3 linked regions of the Canis lupus familiaris genome follow. The protein of the gene in region 2 interacts with the protein of the main gene of each other region in a pairwise test. Links are inferred from orthologs where the notes say so. Each region holds a gene or a part of one and is shown on either strand. Other genes may lie near its edges.

Region 1 (5,083 bases), on a different chromosome or scaffold from region 2:
CATTTGCTTTTGTTCACTAGTCCACTTACCAGCTGGGCAGTTCTTCCGGTCTTGGTTGGACCCTCTCCTACATCTGAGATCAGCCACTGCCCAGGTATGCAGCCCTGAGGATCTTGCCAGAGCTCTCTCACATATTTGGGGATTGATTTGTCTAGAACAGCTTTGACTGGGTTAAATGAGTTCTGCTCCATGGGGTCTTGTAGCTTCTATCAGGCCAGCTCGGGCTTGTTCACAAAAAGAGAGCAAGCAAGGATGTCTGGGTGGCTCAGTGGTTGAGCATCTGACTTTGGCTCAGGCTGTGATCCCAGGATCCTGGGATCGAGTCCTGCATCGGGCTCCCTGCAGGGAGCCTGCTTCTCCCTCTGCCTGTGTATCTGCCTCTCTCTGTGTTGTCTCTCACAAATAAATAAAATCTTTAAAAAAAGAGAGAGAGAGAGAGAACAAGCAGAAGCATGCAAGGTCTCCGTAGGCTAAAGCTCAGAACTGTCACATTGTCACTTCTGCTGTCTTTTAGCCTTCTGTTGGCCAAAGCAAGTCATAGGACTGGCCTAGATCCAAGGATGGAGAAATGGACCCATCTCTTTCGAGAAGGAACCACAAAGGGGTAGGTATCCATTCATAGGCTGCCATCACAAACAGACTGGGTGACTTAAACAACAGAATTTTGTTTCCTCACAGTTCTGGAGGCTGGAATCCAAGATCAAATTGCTGGCAGGACTGATTTCCTCTGAGAACCCCATCCTTGGCTTGCTGATGGCTTCCCCCTCTCTGTGTCTTCACACAGTCTTCCCTCTGTGCATGTCTGTATCCTAATTTCCTCTCCTCCTAAAGACACTGCATGGGTTTGAGTTCCTGTAATGACCTCATTTTAACTTAATCACTTCTTTAAAGACCCATCTCCAAATATGGTCACATTCTGGGGTAGCAGAGGTTAGAAGTGCAACATACAAATTTTGAAGTTATATAACTCAGTCCATGAAGGATAGAGACTATGCCCATCTTTGCTTCATCTAGCACAGACACCTTGCTTTATCCTACGTATGATGATGACCCTACAAAAACATCACCAATTCACTCACGAGGAAGCTGAGGTTCCCAGGTGGTAAGTGGCTTAGGGAACCAGCCCAGAAGTCCAGGACCTTCAGACTAAAAGGCTCTCTCACATTCCCTTTTCCTCACTGGGGGTATGTTCCCGGGCAGAGCCCAAGATGGGGGCAGGTTATCTGGAAAACCAGTTCTTCCTCTTGAACAAGCTGATGTGAGAAACAGGGCAAAGGCCAGCCATGCCCTGCCCCCATGGGTCCCCTCCTCCCTGGATCCACACACAGAACACCCAGGTCTCCCCTCCCTTGACCTGGAAACACACTGGTTAGTTCTTGAAACAGAGCCTTGAATTCGGGATGTCAGGCACACTTCCCAGGCTCCTGCAGGGTGCCACTCCTGGTCCTTTCCAGACAGTTTTAAAGCGGGGAAGAGTATCCTTCCCACATTCGTATCAGACTGCTTTTTACTTCTGGCATAAGCTGTGCTGTTTTCCTGCTTCCTCACCTTTGCATATGCCATTCCCTCTGCCTGAAGTGCCCTTCCCTTCTCTCCTACCCCTCTGAGCCTGGCTAACTCCTCATCAACCTCTAGAACTCATTTCAGTGGTGCCTGGGTGGCTCAGTCAGTTAAGCATCTGCCTTTGGCTCAGGTCATGATCTCAGGGTCCCGGGATCGAGCCCCCCCATCCTGCTCAGTGAGGAGTCTGCTCCTCCCCCCTGCTCATGATCTCTCTCTGTCAAATAAATAAAATCTTTTAAAGGGGGTTGCTGCTCCTGTCTTAATCATGTACCAGCCACACCCTACTTGTGGAATTTGAGCAAGTTCTTTTTTTTTTTTTAAGATTTTATTTATTCATGAGAGACCTGAGCTGAAGGCTCAACCACTGAGCAACCCAGGTGCCCCAAATTTGAGCACGTTCTTTAGCCCCTCCGTGCATTAGTTTCTTCACCTGTAATTGTGTGAAGATCCAGGGAGTTACTATATGCCAAGTACCTAGAAGAGTCTCTGGCACAAAGTCAGTATGCAGAGATGCCTGAGTGGCTCAGCAGTCTAGCATCTGCTTTTGGCTCAGGGTGTGATCCTGGAGACCAGGGATCGAATACAACGTCAGGCTCCCTGTGAGGAACCTGCTTCTCCCTCTGCCTGTGTCTCTGCCTCTCTTTCTGTGTCTCTCATCAGTAAATAAATAAATCTTTTTTAAAAAGTCAGTATGCAATACATGTGAGCTATTATTTGTGTTATTATCCCCCAGAGCCCTGAATAGGACCTGGCCCGGGAGTTATTTGCTGAATTAATGAATTATGAATGACCTTCAGCTTCATGAACAGAAGACGGGAGCATGGGGATGAGAAATAAGAATATCACCAAGCGCCTTAAGCATTTTAATTAGAGCCTCCTGCACGCCCCCGTGCTGTCTGGCCACCGCTTTCTGCTCCTATTTTTGTTTAGCCTGGGTGGCACTTTGAGGATCAGAATTTGGGGCATCATCTTCTGCCTGCGTCCTGAGCCCATGTGCCAGACCCAGTGGCCTCCCACATGCCTCCCAGCCGCTGCTTTAAATAGCTTCCTTTTGCTAACTGTTAATATAAAGCCGGGAGCAGAGCTTATGTAAGCCGACCAGCATTTCCCCCAACTTAGCTGAGACCCTGAGTCCTGTAAATCCCACCAGAGGGGGCATGCGGGCTTGTCCCACCAACAGGGGCCCTGGAGCATCAATCTTCTGGAGAGACAGGTGGCAGAGGCTCAGGGGAGCTCTGGGGAATCACTCACCTGTCCCTGGTTGTACTTAAAGAATTCAGATACTTGTCTCACATCTTCCCATTGATCTGGAACAGACCTGGACCTCGGGGTCTTTGACATTCTCCATGTGATTCTGATGCTCAGCAAGATTGAGGATCACAGGCCTAGAGCCTCTGGCTTCATCTACCAACCACTGGGTGGGCTCTTTCCAGGCATTAAGCAGGGGTCTCACTTTCCTGACCCCCACCCACTTTTTATAAGCGACAGCAACACTTCTGGGCATAGTCCTTGAGTCCACTGGGTGGTCTGTGTGCCTCCTGTGCAATTTTGCCCTCTCTATAAACCACCTGTTACTTACTTTGAATACTACTCACTTTTAAATTTTAACTTCATTCTAAGAAGATGTGAAATAATGGACTGGATGTACTAGTCTGTTTTCTTTAATACACAAATAAAGGCCAGACTGTTAAAATTTAAACCCATATGCTACAGAAAATCATTTTGTGCAGAGCCAGGAGAGGGAGGGAGCAGGGAGGAGTCACCCCAGGGTACATGGGATCAGGGAATAGAGGGTGCCTTCCAGGGTTGCATATCAAGAAAGGCGATGGGACAACTCCCAAGTCAAGACCAGCATAAGTATGTGGAAAATGCTTAGAATATCTCTAGGGGAACCTACAAGAAACTAGTAAAAATTACCACCTCTGGATCTTTTGGACCTTTTTTTTTTTAAAGATTTTTTATTTATTTATTCATGAGAGACAGAGAGAGAGAGGCAGAGACACAGGCAGAGGGAGAAGTAGGGTCCATGCAGGGAGCTGACATGGGACTCGATCCTGGGCCTCCAGAATCACGCTCTGGGCTGAAGGTGGTGCTAAACCGCTGAGCCACCTGGGCTGCCCCCCCTCCTTTTTTTTTTTTTTTTACTTTTAAAAATAAATCTTTCGGGGTGTCTGGGTGGCTCAGTTGGTTAAGCGTCTGCCTTTGGCTTAGGTCATGGTCCCAGGATCCTGGGACTGAGTCCTGCATCAGGCTCCCTGCTCACCAGGGAGTCTGCTTCTCCCTCTCCCTCTTCCCCCTGCTCATTCTCTCTCTCTCTCCTCTCTCTCAAATAAATAAACAAAATATTTTTAAAAATAAAATAAAAAAATAGGGCAGCCCGGGTGGCTCAGCGGTTTAGCACGGTCTTTGTTATTTTTTGTTTTTGTTTTTGTTTTTTTTGTTTTTCGAGCAAAACAAAATCAAATTTAATGGTCTTAAATGCAAAAGTAAAAACAAACAAAAAACACAAAAAAGCAAAAGAAAATTAACAGAACAGAACAACCCAAAATGTCAAGGCAGTTATGAAGAGAACTTGGGAGGGTTAATCTTTAAAACTACAAATCAAAGTGTTTTTTTTTTTTTTTTGTTAATAGATAACTGGCAAGAAGTAAGTACTTTTCTGCTGAGTGTTCATACGAAAGCAAAGTTTCAAAACAAAATCCGACTAAAATAGAAACAAGTCTAGCGCTCACGAGAAGGGATGCGAGAAATACAATGCTCAAATGTTTCTGTGTTCTTAAAATATAGAGCGATCTTAGGCATTCGAGCTGTGTGAACTGCTCTTGGAAAGTGGAGAAATGGTTGGGAACACCAGCGCCCGGTGTGCGGGGCACCGTTAGCACGGTCTTTGGCCCAGGGTGTGATCCTGGAGACCCGTGATCAAGTCCCACGTCAGACTTCCTGCGTGGAGCCTGCTTCTCCCTCTGCCTGTGTCTCTGCCTCTCTCTGTGTCTCTCATGAATAAATAAATAAAATCTTAAAAAAAAATAAAAATAAATCTTTTTATTTTTCAAGAGAAAGAATGGGCTTAACAGAAGAGTCGCAGATAGAGATGCCAGTGTCCCACTCCAACTTTAGCTGAGAATGTCCAGTGCTATCCAGGTAGCAGTGGCACAGAGCTGGGGTGGGGGCACCTGGCGTTCTAGTCACTGGAGACCAGCTGCCCTATGTGTAGGACACTTCGGTTTCCTCAGGCTTCACCTAGGGCAGATCCAGAAAACAATCTTTTCACTAAGTTTTGGCTCAGTAGGTGCTCTCTGAAGACATATTGGCTCTCCATTCCATTCCTAGATGCCGGGCCGTATAAGAGAGCCAGGCTGAGTATGCCTTGGCCAAGTAGAAGGCCATGAAGACACCAGTCTCAATAAGCTGGAGGAAGCATCCTGAGGGGTCCCCTGCAGCAAGGTCTCAGGGTCTGGAGGCCCAGAGGACAGAGCAAGGAGCCGTACAGGCATCATGGGGCAGTCACATAGTACTGAGT
Region 2 (4,907 bases):
CTCCTTATCCCCCATGTGATGTTTGCTCTGGCAAGCAAAGCCTTTTGGACTGGCCTCACTCACTCCCTTCCACCCTCCTGAACCCTACACTCTAGCTATAGAAACTGTTTACTCTGACTTCTTCCATTTTTCTCAACCTGTGCAAATGCCCTGTGGACAGCCTGGGATGACTTTCCTGCTTTTCTGGAGATTCATCATTTAAGATCTAGCATGTAGTCCTGCTTTCTGGGAAGCCTTGCTCAGATTATACAGACCAGGGCAGCCTGGGTGGCTCAGTGGTTTAAGCGCCGCCTTCAGCCCAGGGCGTGATCCTGGAGACCTGGGATCGAGTTCCACATCAGGCTCCCTGCATGGAGCCTGCTTCTCCCTCTGCCTGTGTCTCTGCTTCTCTCTCTCTCTCTCTCTCTCTCTGTGTCTCTCATGAATAAATAAATAAAATATACATTTAAAAAAATGTTATACAGACCAAATGAATGCCTCCTCCTCTGTGCACCCATGGCCCTCTGCTCCTGTCTCCTCCTTACAGCTCCCGGAGAATGGGGCTCCCGGAAGGGAGAGCCTATGTGTGCTCATCTTTGTGATTAACTTTGTATCCACAGTCACCATAATTGCGTCTGCCCTGTAATACAGGCTCACCACTTATGGGAGTTTTGCTTGCTTAGTTTTGTTTTACTGGAAGAGATAAACAGATGAATGAATGAATGAATGGGAATTCATTCTTTTGACTTCACCCTAGATCTAACAAAAAGTTTGGGCAGTGGCCTTTCTGGTCATTTTTGTGTAACCTGATATTGGACTCTTCTGTGCCCCAAGAAAAAGTCTCCCCAATACCAGGTACCTGTCCTCCTGAGGAATTGGCCTCAGGCACTAAAGGAAAGGCTGTCTTAATAGCAGGGAGAGGGCGGAGGGGGTCAGCTCCGTCTTCACAGCCGTCCCTGAGAGGGCGCTGTTCCCAAGTCAACCCTCCAGAGGCCGGAGCTGAAATACCGGAGCGTTCCCCCGGGGCTCAGCATCCCTCCCTTCCCGGCTGCGGTCGCCGGGTCCCCAGCGGAGCGCCTGCCCACACACATGGCGGCGCCCTGCTCAGCTTCTCGGCGCCGGCACCGACAGGCCGGGCTGGCCTTGCCAGTACTCGGGGACTTCCTCCGCGAGCCCGCTTCCTGCACGGCTGGCATTTAAACCGGCGCCTGGGGCTGCGGGCTGCTGCTGCTGCGGAGCTGTGCCCGGGCTGCGCAGCGCCGCCGAGCCGCCGAGCATCCCCCCGCGCCGAGCCGCCGAGCATCCCCCCGCGCCGAGCCGCCGAGCATCCCCCCGCGCCGAGCCGCCGAGCATCCCCCCGCGCCGGCCGCCGAGCATCCCCTCGCGGCGCCGGGGCCAGGGCGGGACAGGTCGGCGGGGGTGCGGCGGCGCAGATCGGGGACCCGACATCGCACCCCGGCACCTGGCAGTTTAATTGCAGGTTTGACTTTAATTTCCCGGATCGCAGCCCTTCTGCCCGGCGCAGATTATCTCTCCTCCGGGCCCCGCCCGGGTCGCCGCTGGCGGCGGGAGGCGGGCCGGGCCGCGGGAAGGCGCTCAGCAGGGACCCCCCGCCCGCGCCCGGGCCATGGTGCGGCCGAGCCCGGCGCTGGGGTGAGGCGGCCGCGCGGCTCGGAGCGGCGGGCGGGCGCTGCGGGGCCCCTGCCCCCGGGAGCCGAGGGCGCGGACGCGGGGCTGCACGCCCGGGGGGCTGCGGGGGCCGCGATGTTCAGCTGGCTGGGTTCCGACGACCGCCGGCGGAAAGACCCCGAGGTCTTCCAGACGGTGAGCGAGGGGCTCAAGAAGCTCTACAAGACCAAGCTGCTGCCCCTGGAAGAGCATTACCGCTTCCATGAGTTTCACTCGCCCGCCCTGGAGGATGCGGACTTCGACAACAAGCCCATGGTCCTGCTGGTGGGCCAGTACTCCACGGGGAAGACCACCTTCATCAGGTGAGCCGCCCCGGCCCTGGCCGCCTGCCCGCCTCCCCGCCCGGCGCCTGGGTCCTCCGGCGCTCCTGGCGGCCCCCTGCCCGGGACGAACGGGAAGCCTTCCTTCCCTGGAGGGCGCTGAAGAAAGTCTGGTGTTTGTGTGCGCAGAGCTGACCCCACCGTTTCACTGCTGGTCCCCCACCCCGCCCTACCTACTGCCTCTCTGCTCCCGAGGTCAGTTTGAAGTGTTCAAGTTCAGAGCCCTCTGCATTCCCCCTCATTTTATGGATGATGAAACTGAGGCCTGGACGGCACAGTGAGAAAACTGGTCACAAGAGCACCTTATTGCTGGCTGGGGGTGCCTCACACCCTCACTTATTAGGGGCATGCCCTTCATGGCCTGGACCACCTCCCCTGCCTTTTAAAGGGCTCAGCCACTCACGTGGGGGGCTCTGCAGCTGCAGCTGAGGAGGTGGACTGGGGACTTAGCTCCTGCTGGGGCAGTGCCACTTGTCCTTTTTTATCAGCTTCCCTCTCTGAGCAGAGCTCCTTGTGTAGATCTCTTGGAGACTGGACAGGAACGTATCAGACGCAGAATGCTTTTTTCTCTTCCCCTGTTTGATCTTAATGGCTCAGTAATAACATTAACGTCTTTTAGAGGTGGAAGAGATGTGGGCAGATTGTCTCATCCAGTCCCTTGACTTGGCAGGTGAGATGACCCAGGCTTAGAGGGGTTAAGTGACTGTCCAAAGCCCCGTAACTGAGTAGGAGGCCCACCTGGGCTGCTGGTCTTAGATGCATGGGCGGAGATGCTTGGCTAAATGCCCGTGACTCTGAGGGTGAGTCATCTATTCCCTTCAATTCCAGAATCCTAGGCCTGAGGGGTCCTCAAGAAGGCAGCCTGTCCACCCGGCACTCGGAGAAGGTCCGTACCTTATCCACCAGAGTGATGACCATCTTTCCTATCTTTGCAGGACAGGCTTCTCTCCAGACCTCAGTCCATACAACCTGCAAGGCCAGGCAGTTTCCTCTGGCCTCATTTACAGCCATTGCCAAGCTGCTGCAGGTGCTTTGTGGCCCTCTGTCGAGTCAGACTCCTGTTGTGTGGCAAAGGGTGTGGTGGCCAAAATCAGTGATGCTCAGCTCCTGCAGAAGGTTTCAAAGCAGGGTTCCCATTCAAATCAAATCTTGTTTCCATCCCAGGCAAATATTGACCAGCCGAGCACCTGCACCATGCAAAGCACTGTGCTTTGTTTGGCAAGAGCAGAAAAGTTAACAGTCTGGTTACTAATTTTCTAGATACTAATTTTCTCTAGTGCTAAGCTTATACACAAGCCTTCTGGGAGCAGGGCTTGCGCCATGCTAACGTGTCATGTCTGAACAGAACACCAGATCGGGTTTCCCTTTGCGGGGTGGACAGCCTTGGGCTCAGCAGCTTTGAAGGCTGAGTGATTTCTAAAGAAGTTAGGTACCCGGGGTGGGGGGTGGGGAGCTGTTGGCTTTTGGATACCTTCTGTTGTCAGAACTGCAAGGACTCTTAGCAGTGAATCTAATCCATTGCTTTCTTAGCTTTTTAAAAGGTCAGTATATCCTTTGAAAATCTAACAAAAGCTGTGGCCCTATCTTTAGAAAAAATGCACAGATACATACACAGAAATGTACAAATTTACATATAATCTCACGGGGAGAACCTCTGATGGAACCCACTTCCCTTAGTTCAGTAAGCACCTATTGCTGCCCAAGGCACTTCAGAGCTCCTTAGGCTCTGCACAAGATTTCCTTTGTCATCCGTGTCCTCCTCCGTCTGGCCTGGTTTGTGCCCCACGGGAAGGTACGGGCCCTCCTTGGCCCTCTGGACACACCTTGGTTATAACCCCTGGTACATAATGTGGAGCTTCTCCTTCCAGTAGCACCAGAACTTATAACTGTGCCTTAGCTCCCTGGGGCCCTCACCTGGGGTCTCAGCTCCGGGAGGCTCCCAATAGATGTTTACAGAATGGAAGGGAAGATGGGGAAAGGCGAGTGTCTCCAGGGACAGGATCCTGGAGCGGCAGACAGGTTTAAGTGCTTCTTGACTGAGACACTCTCCTTGCTTTGCCTGAGTCATGCTGGCTGTTAACTGGGTCCTAAGAGAGTGGCAGAGTCAAGTCGCCATAGATTATTCCTTATCTGAGGGAGACAGGAAGGCCGGGAGAGGCAGATCCCTCGCTTTCTTAACCTCCAAGTACAAGACTTCTCCCTCCCCAGTCATGTAGTAACTGAATTTAGCTCAGTGCATCAAAAGCCATCCCCCTCGAGGGAGAGTCCACCCCGAGGGTGGGAGGGGTTGTAGCACAGGCAAGCCCTCCAAAACCAAATTACATATTTTCCTCCTTTTCATTAAACCCACTAAGCAGCTATTTTTTTTCCATCAGAAAATGTAGACCAGAATACCTTAGAAGAGGAAGAAAAAAAAATCACTCACAAGCCCACGACTTAGGGGAAAACATTTTTAAATATAAATACATATATACTTATCTTGCCGGTATATTTAGCTATTTTGTAACACAATTGCCATAATGTAATCCTGCATGCTAATGTATTTCCCTTAGAGAAGGAGCATTTTTAAATGTCACTTCAAAAATCTTTGTAAGCATTATTTTGAAGAGCCGCATGATATTTTGCTGTGTGTAATTGCAATTATTCATTAACCAGTCTGCTTCTTTTGAATGTTTGAGGTTGTCTCTAATTTTTCAGTTGTGGAACCACCCTCACTACCTCTATGCGTAATATTTTTCTACATATTGGACTGCTTTCTCAGAGATTCCCAGAAGTGAAATCACTAGGCCAAAGGTTGTACAGTTTCATCATGCCTTTAAGTTTTTCTGGTTTTTTGATTTTGGTGCTAAGAACCGTATTTCTGAGTTGCTTTCCAAGAGGGTAGGTTGATACAACACCCCTTCCCCAGAGCGATGACGA
Region 3 (5,041 bases), on a different chromosome or scaffold from region 2:
GTAGGAGGTGGCAAGCACAGGCTGGTGTGGACCAAGCGTCCAAGGGGGATCACTAGGCAGCCTGGCACTTACAGCAGCCACTTCCTAGGTGGCCCCAGAGAGAGTCCACACTCTGGACCAAGAACACGTTGTCTAACCTTGAACAGATCTAAGATGTGAGGCTGGTCCTGGCTGGGGTCATAATGGCATTCTAGGCTGGGGCTTAATGGGTGTTTGAGGAGGTGGGAATCCCCAAGGGGGCTTCTCTCCTCCACAATACACCCAAAAGGCCCCAGGTGAGAAGCCAGGTATAAAATGTTTTCAATCCATTTTGTCACACATTTACCAGGTTACCAGGTAACAATAATTACAATTTACAAGTGATTGAAAGGTCGGGTGTGTTATATCTGAATCCTCTCAGCCACTTTGTAAAGCTAGAATTATTTCTATTTTCTTTACTTGAGAATAATTAACATGCATTGTTCCATTAGTTCCAGGGGTACAATATACTGATTCAACAATTCTATACCTGACTCAGGAATTATCCCTATTTTTAAGCTATGGAAACAGGTTCGAGGGCGCACAAGATCATACTGCCAAGGGACTGGGGAAAGCCAGGATTCCAGCCTGGGTGGATAGGACTCCCAGAGCCCTGCTCTTCCCAGCCTCCAACAGCTAAGGGGTGACAGCGGTGACTAAGACCCTGCTCCTTCCCTTGGGGGTGGAGCGACAGACCTATCCCAGCTATTATATTGGTCAAAGTGACGTCACCACCATGGCAGCTGAGTGGAAAGCTGATTCATCTGAGGTCAGGAGGGACTTCTGGGGGGAGGAGCCGCTGACCCAGGTCTTGGAGAGGGGAGCAGGAGGCTTGGGGGTTCCAAAGCCCTGAGGCCCAGAGCCCCACCAGACAAGGGCCTGCTTCCTATGGGTTCTGCCCACGGGGCCCCACCCCCCACCACTTCTTGGGGCGGGAGGAGCCGACACAGGGGCCGACACAGGGGGAGCGCACTCCGAAGGACCAGTTGTCAGGCTCAAGACACCACTGAGTGCACACCTGGACTGATGGGGGTGGGGGCTGAAGTCTGGCAGGCAATGGGGGGAGGGGAGGGTGACAGACTGTGGAGGTCAGGGGTGTTTTGGAGGGGTGAGACGGGGTCAGGGAAGCTGGTGGCCATCTGGGGTGCTTTGGGCTCAGCAGGGGCACTGCCTGCCCAACGTTTCAGGCAGGAGGGCTCAGTGGGTTTAGGGAAAGTCGGTGTGGGGGGTCTGCAGGTCCTTAGGCCAAGGAGCGGGAAGAGGGCAGGAGCGGAGAAAGGATTCCAGGTGGGCACCGTGGTGAGGGTCGTCGGGTGGAAGAAGCCCCTCGCGGCCGGCGAGGTCGCAGTGGGTCACAGGGCTCCAGGGGCCGTCCCGGAGTTCTCGGGGGCTCCCGAGGAGGAGCGGCGACCCGGCTCGCCCAGCAAGGGGCTGCGCGGGGTCGGGCCCGCGGGCGGGCGGGGGCGCGTCGGGGGGCGGAGCCGCGGCTGGGTGGGGCGCCAGGACCCCACTCCCCGCGGCGGCGGCGGCGGCGGCGGCGGCGGGCGGGGACCCGGGCCAGCGGGGCGCCCGCGGCCGGCCCACAGCGAGGGGGCGGCGGCGGCGAGCGGGCGGCCGGGCCGGGCCACGCGGGCGGCGGCTGCTCGGGCAGGTCCGGGCAGGGCGGGGCGGGCGGCAGCGAGCGCAGCCGGGACCCCGAGCCCAGCCCGAGCCCAGCCCGAGCGCGGACCCCGCGGCCGCGGCCCCGCCTCCTCCCCGCCCTGCGCCCGCCGCCCGCGGGTCGGCGCCCGCAGCTCGGAGCGGCGCGGCAGTCGGCGCTGGAGCCGCCGCGGGAGCCGCCGCCGGAAGCCGGCCGGAGCCGGGCCGGGGGCTGAAGCCTGGTGCCGGCGGCGCCCGGAGGCGGGCCCGAGCCCCGCGCGGCTCATGGCGGGGCCGCGGGGCGCGCTGCTGGCCTGGTGCCGCCGCCAGTGCGAGGGCTACCGCGGCGTGGACGTCCGCGACCTGAGCAGCTCCTTCCGGGACGGCCTGGCCTTCTGCGCCATCCTGCACCGGCACCGGCCCGACCTGCTGTGAGTGCCCGGGATGCGGCGGGCGGGGGCGCGGGGCGCGGGGGCGCGGGCCCGAGCCGGGGACCCCCGCCCCCCTCAGTGACGCGGAGCCGGGCGGTGGCAGGCGCCGCCCCCCGGGGCCCGCGACGCAGACCCGGGCGCTGGGCCCCCAACGGCTCGCGGGTCCCGAGCGCTCGTCCCCGGGGCCCCTCCCCCACGAGGCCCCGCCCCCGCCCCGGGGCCCCGCGGCCCCGCGGCCCCGCAGCCTGCGCCTCCCCGCTGGCCCCCGCCCCAGGGGCCCCCGCCCCCGCCCCGGCCGCGCCCACAGGGCACTGATTTCCGCCAAAGGGACACCTGGCCCTCCTTGGGGACCCTGCGCCGCTCCCCGCGCCGCTCCCCGCGCCGCAGTGAGGCCCGTCGGCCCGTGAGGGGCCCTGCTCCCTTGTCTCCTTCCCCCGTGCCATCTTGGCTCCAGGGAGGAGACCCTGGGTCAGTAGTGGTTGGATGATACACACCCCGTCTCCCACCCCAGGTAGGACGCAGATCTGCCTCCCAGTGTGTGCCCACAGGCCTGCCGTCCTCACCGGGGCAGGGAGGCTGGGTGAAGACTCCTGAGGTCTGCCTGACACCAGCCACCGCCTGGGCTGCCCGGGGTGTGAGATGGCTCCTTCTTGCCCCCCCCCCCCAGCTGCCCAGTGAGGTTCTCATGGAAAAACTTATTCAGACCCCCAGAGCCGTTGACTTGGGGCTTCTATCTCAGCTCTCTGTGTGTTGGGCCCTGGAACCTCTCCATGTATTCACTCATTCATCAAACGCTGAGTGAACATGAAGCTGAGGCACAGGGTTCCTGGCGCTTCCTGTCTCATCTGCAACTTGAGACCCAGAGACCTCTTCAGGGCCTCTCTTGCCAACAGTGCCCCCGACAGGGCTCCCCGGGCCTGGCAGGGTCTGCAGACTTGGGGTGTCCTGCTGCAGACCTGTGCTCCCTGGGAGGGCCCTGGTGGAGGCGAGAAGGGAGGAGAGGATGGCCTCAAGGATCCGCTGGTACAGATGCATTTGGTTTACTCTGTACCTGTGGTACAATGTCTGGGTGCCAGGTCGGGCCCTGTGTTGGGATGTGGAGGGGAGGATTTGGGGGGAAGTGGCTGCAGAAGCTAAGGAGTTGAGGTGGGCTGCTTCTGCCTCCTGTGGGGCATGTGACAGCCTGGGTGTCAACGGTGGGGTTGATGATAGGGTCTCTGTTACAGAATTGTTGTGAGGATTACAGGAGGTAACGAGCATTTAATTAACATTAGTTATTATATTACACTATGGGGTGTGATGAGTGTGTGTTACTCGTCGTTCTTTCAACAGTATTTATAGTTACTACTCTGTGCTGGGCCCTGCGTGGTAATGGAGATAGCAGGAGCCAGGTGCCTGCTGAGGGAAGGGCGTTCTGGCGGATGGAGGGGGCCACCAGAGCAGAGGCCCTGAGAGGGGAGTGCTGCTGGGGCCCTTAGCACATGGCAGGGAGGATCAGGAGATGCAGCTGGCCCGGAGCACCAGGGCTCCTTGCTGGCTAAGGAGGGTGGATGGAGCCACGTGGAGCTTCGTGGGTTTTAAGCAGGGGAGGGCAGCTCCCCTCCTGAGAAGAGATCCAGGATCATGTATAGACATTCATTTGTGGAGCAGGCCAGTGCCTTGGCTACTGGCCCATTATACAGAAGAAAAACTGAGGCCCAGCTGCCACAGGAGGCATAGGGAGGATCTTCATGAGAGTAAGGGTAGGGTAGGGGCTGAGAGCAAGAATCATCAGAAGACGTTCAAGCTCTTGGAGCTGTGGCCCTTCCTCTGCTAGGGTGTGGGATTTGCCATGCTGGGGGGCCTGGTTCATTGTTTGCCTCCCCTCACCAATCCAGACATCTTTAAGCTCCCTTGAGGACAGAGACCATGTGGGTTTCATTTTTGTGTACTTCATCTCCCTTGGAGCCAAATAGAACTTCCCGGGCTTTTGAAAACTCTCAGAAAATATCTGTGTTACCAAAGCCCAGATGTTGAATTGGGACAGAGATGGGGGTGGGGAAGAAGCTGGAGGAGAAACTAGTATCTCTGGGGCCTTTACAGTCTTCACACTGTTTGTTTATTCATTCAATAAACATTTCTTGAGCACTTACTAAATATCAGGCACTACAGAGGGTGTTGGGAGCACAGGGTGAACAAAAAGTGACCCCAGCCTTCTAGAAACACTGCTGGGGAGACTGAAATTAGCTGCCAAGACAAATTGCTTTGGTCTCATTTGGTCTCCGAACAAGCCTTTGTTGGGGCTGGGCTGGTGACCCCTCACCTGTTCACAGTGTCACAGATCAGGAGGCCAAGCTTTAGAGATATTAGATAACTTGCTTTTGGTCACACTCTTAGGCAGTGGCAAAGCAGAAGGGCTTAGGGACTCAGCTTTGGGGGGAAGGGCGGGAGAAAAGGAAGCAGCCTGGCCAGAGGTGGCAAATGGCTGAGGCTCATACTTAGTCAGCTCCCCTGACCTAGTCCATCCAGCCTTGGGGCACCTCCCTCTGGGGTTCTCAGGCTACCCTTTCCTGCCTCTCCCACTGGTCATCGTACCTGGACTCTGCCTGGAGAAGTTTGGGGCAGGAGAAGGGGGGCGTGCCCCTCACCAAGCCCAGACTCAACCAACCCTCCCCACCAACCTGGGAGGGGGTACTGGAGGTTCCCCCAACTTATAGATGAAGGTCAGTCAGGAAGACGGCCGACCTGCCCAAGGTCACACAGCCAGGCCTGGAAGAGCAGAGCCCGGGACCCTGACTTGGGAGGTGGTGCCGTCTGCTCCGGCCTCTGGGCCCACCATGTGGGCGAGGCAGGGCTGCAGTTTTCAGCCATAGAAGGGCAAGGCTCGGGGCCGGTGTACCCAGGAGGCTGCCGAGCCAGAAGGCTGAGTTTCAGCCACTCGAGCAGCCTGGAGCACTGATGGGGAGGAAGAGGAT

Evidence for each region.
Region 1: the proteins of EHD3 (region 2) and RBSN interact in binary tests that used the Homo sapiens proteins (3 or more experiments, as listed by UniProt). The link is inferred for Canis lupus familiaris from reciprocal best matches to the Homo sapiens genes EHD3 and RBSN.
Region 3: the proteins of EHD3 (region 2) and MICALL1 interact in binary tests that used the Homo sapiens proteins (3 or more experiments, as listed by UniProt). The link is inferred for Canis lupus familiaris from reciprocal best matches to the Homo sapiens genes EHD3 and MICALL1.

Annotation. Positions count from the first base shown.
Region 1 is NC_049241.1:5,268,469-5,273,551, forward strand, and holds the start of RBSN (rabenosyn-5), read right to left. Parts: upstream 3,115-5,083; 5' UTR 2,815-3,114; intron 1-2,814. UniProt on the Homo sapiens protein: Rab4/Rab5 effector protein acting in early endocytic membrane fusion and membrane trafficking of recycling endosomes. Required for endosome fusion either homotypically or with clathrin coated vesicles.
Region 2 is NC_049238.1:24,855,684-24,860,590, forward strand, and holds the start of EHD3 (EH domain-containing protein 3), read left to right. Parts: upstream 1-1,676; 5' UTR 1,677-1,743; coding exon 1,744-1,970; intron 1,971-2,817; exon of another isoform or gene 2,818-2,874; intron 2,875-4,907. UniProt on the Homo sapiens protein: ATP- and membrane-binding protein that controls membrane reorganization/tubulation upon ATP hydrolysis. In vitro causes tubulation of endocytic membranes. Binding to phosphatidic acid induces its membrane tubulation activity.
Region 3 is NC_049231.1:27,740,145-27,745,185, reverse strand, and holds the start of MICALL1 (MICAL-like protein 1), read left to right. Parts: upstream 1-1,927; 5' UTR 1,928-1,941; coding exon 1,942-2,087; intron 2,088-2,500; exon of another isoform or gene 2,501-2,598; intron 2,599-5,041. UniProt on the Homo sapiens protein: Lipid-binding protein with higher affinity for phosphatidic acid, a lipid enriched in recycling endosome membranes. On endosome membranes, acts as a downstream effector of Rab proteins recruiting cytosolic proteins to regulate membrane tubulation.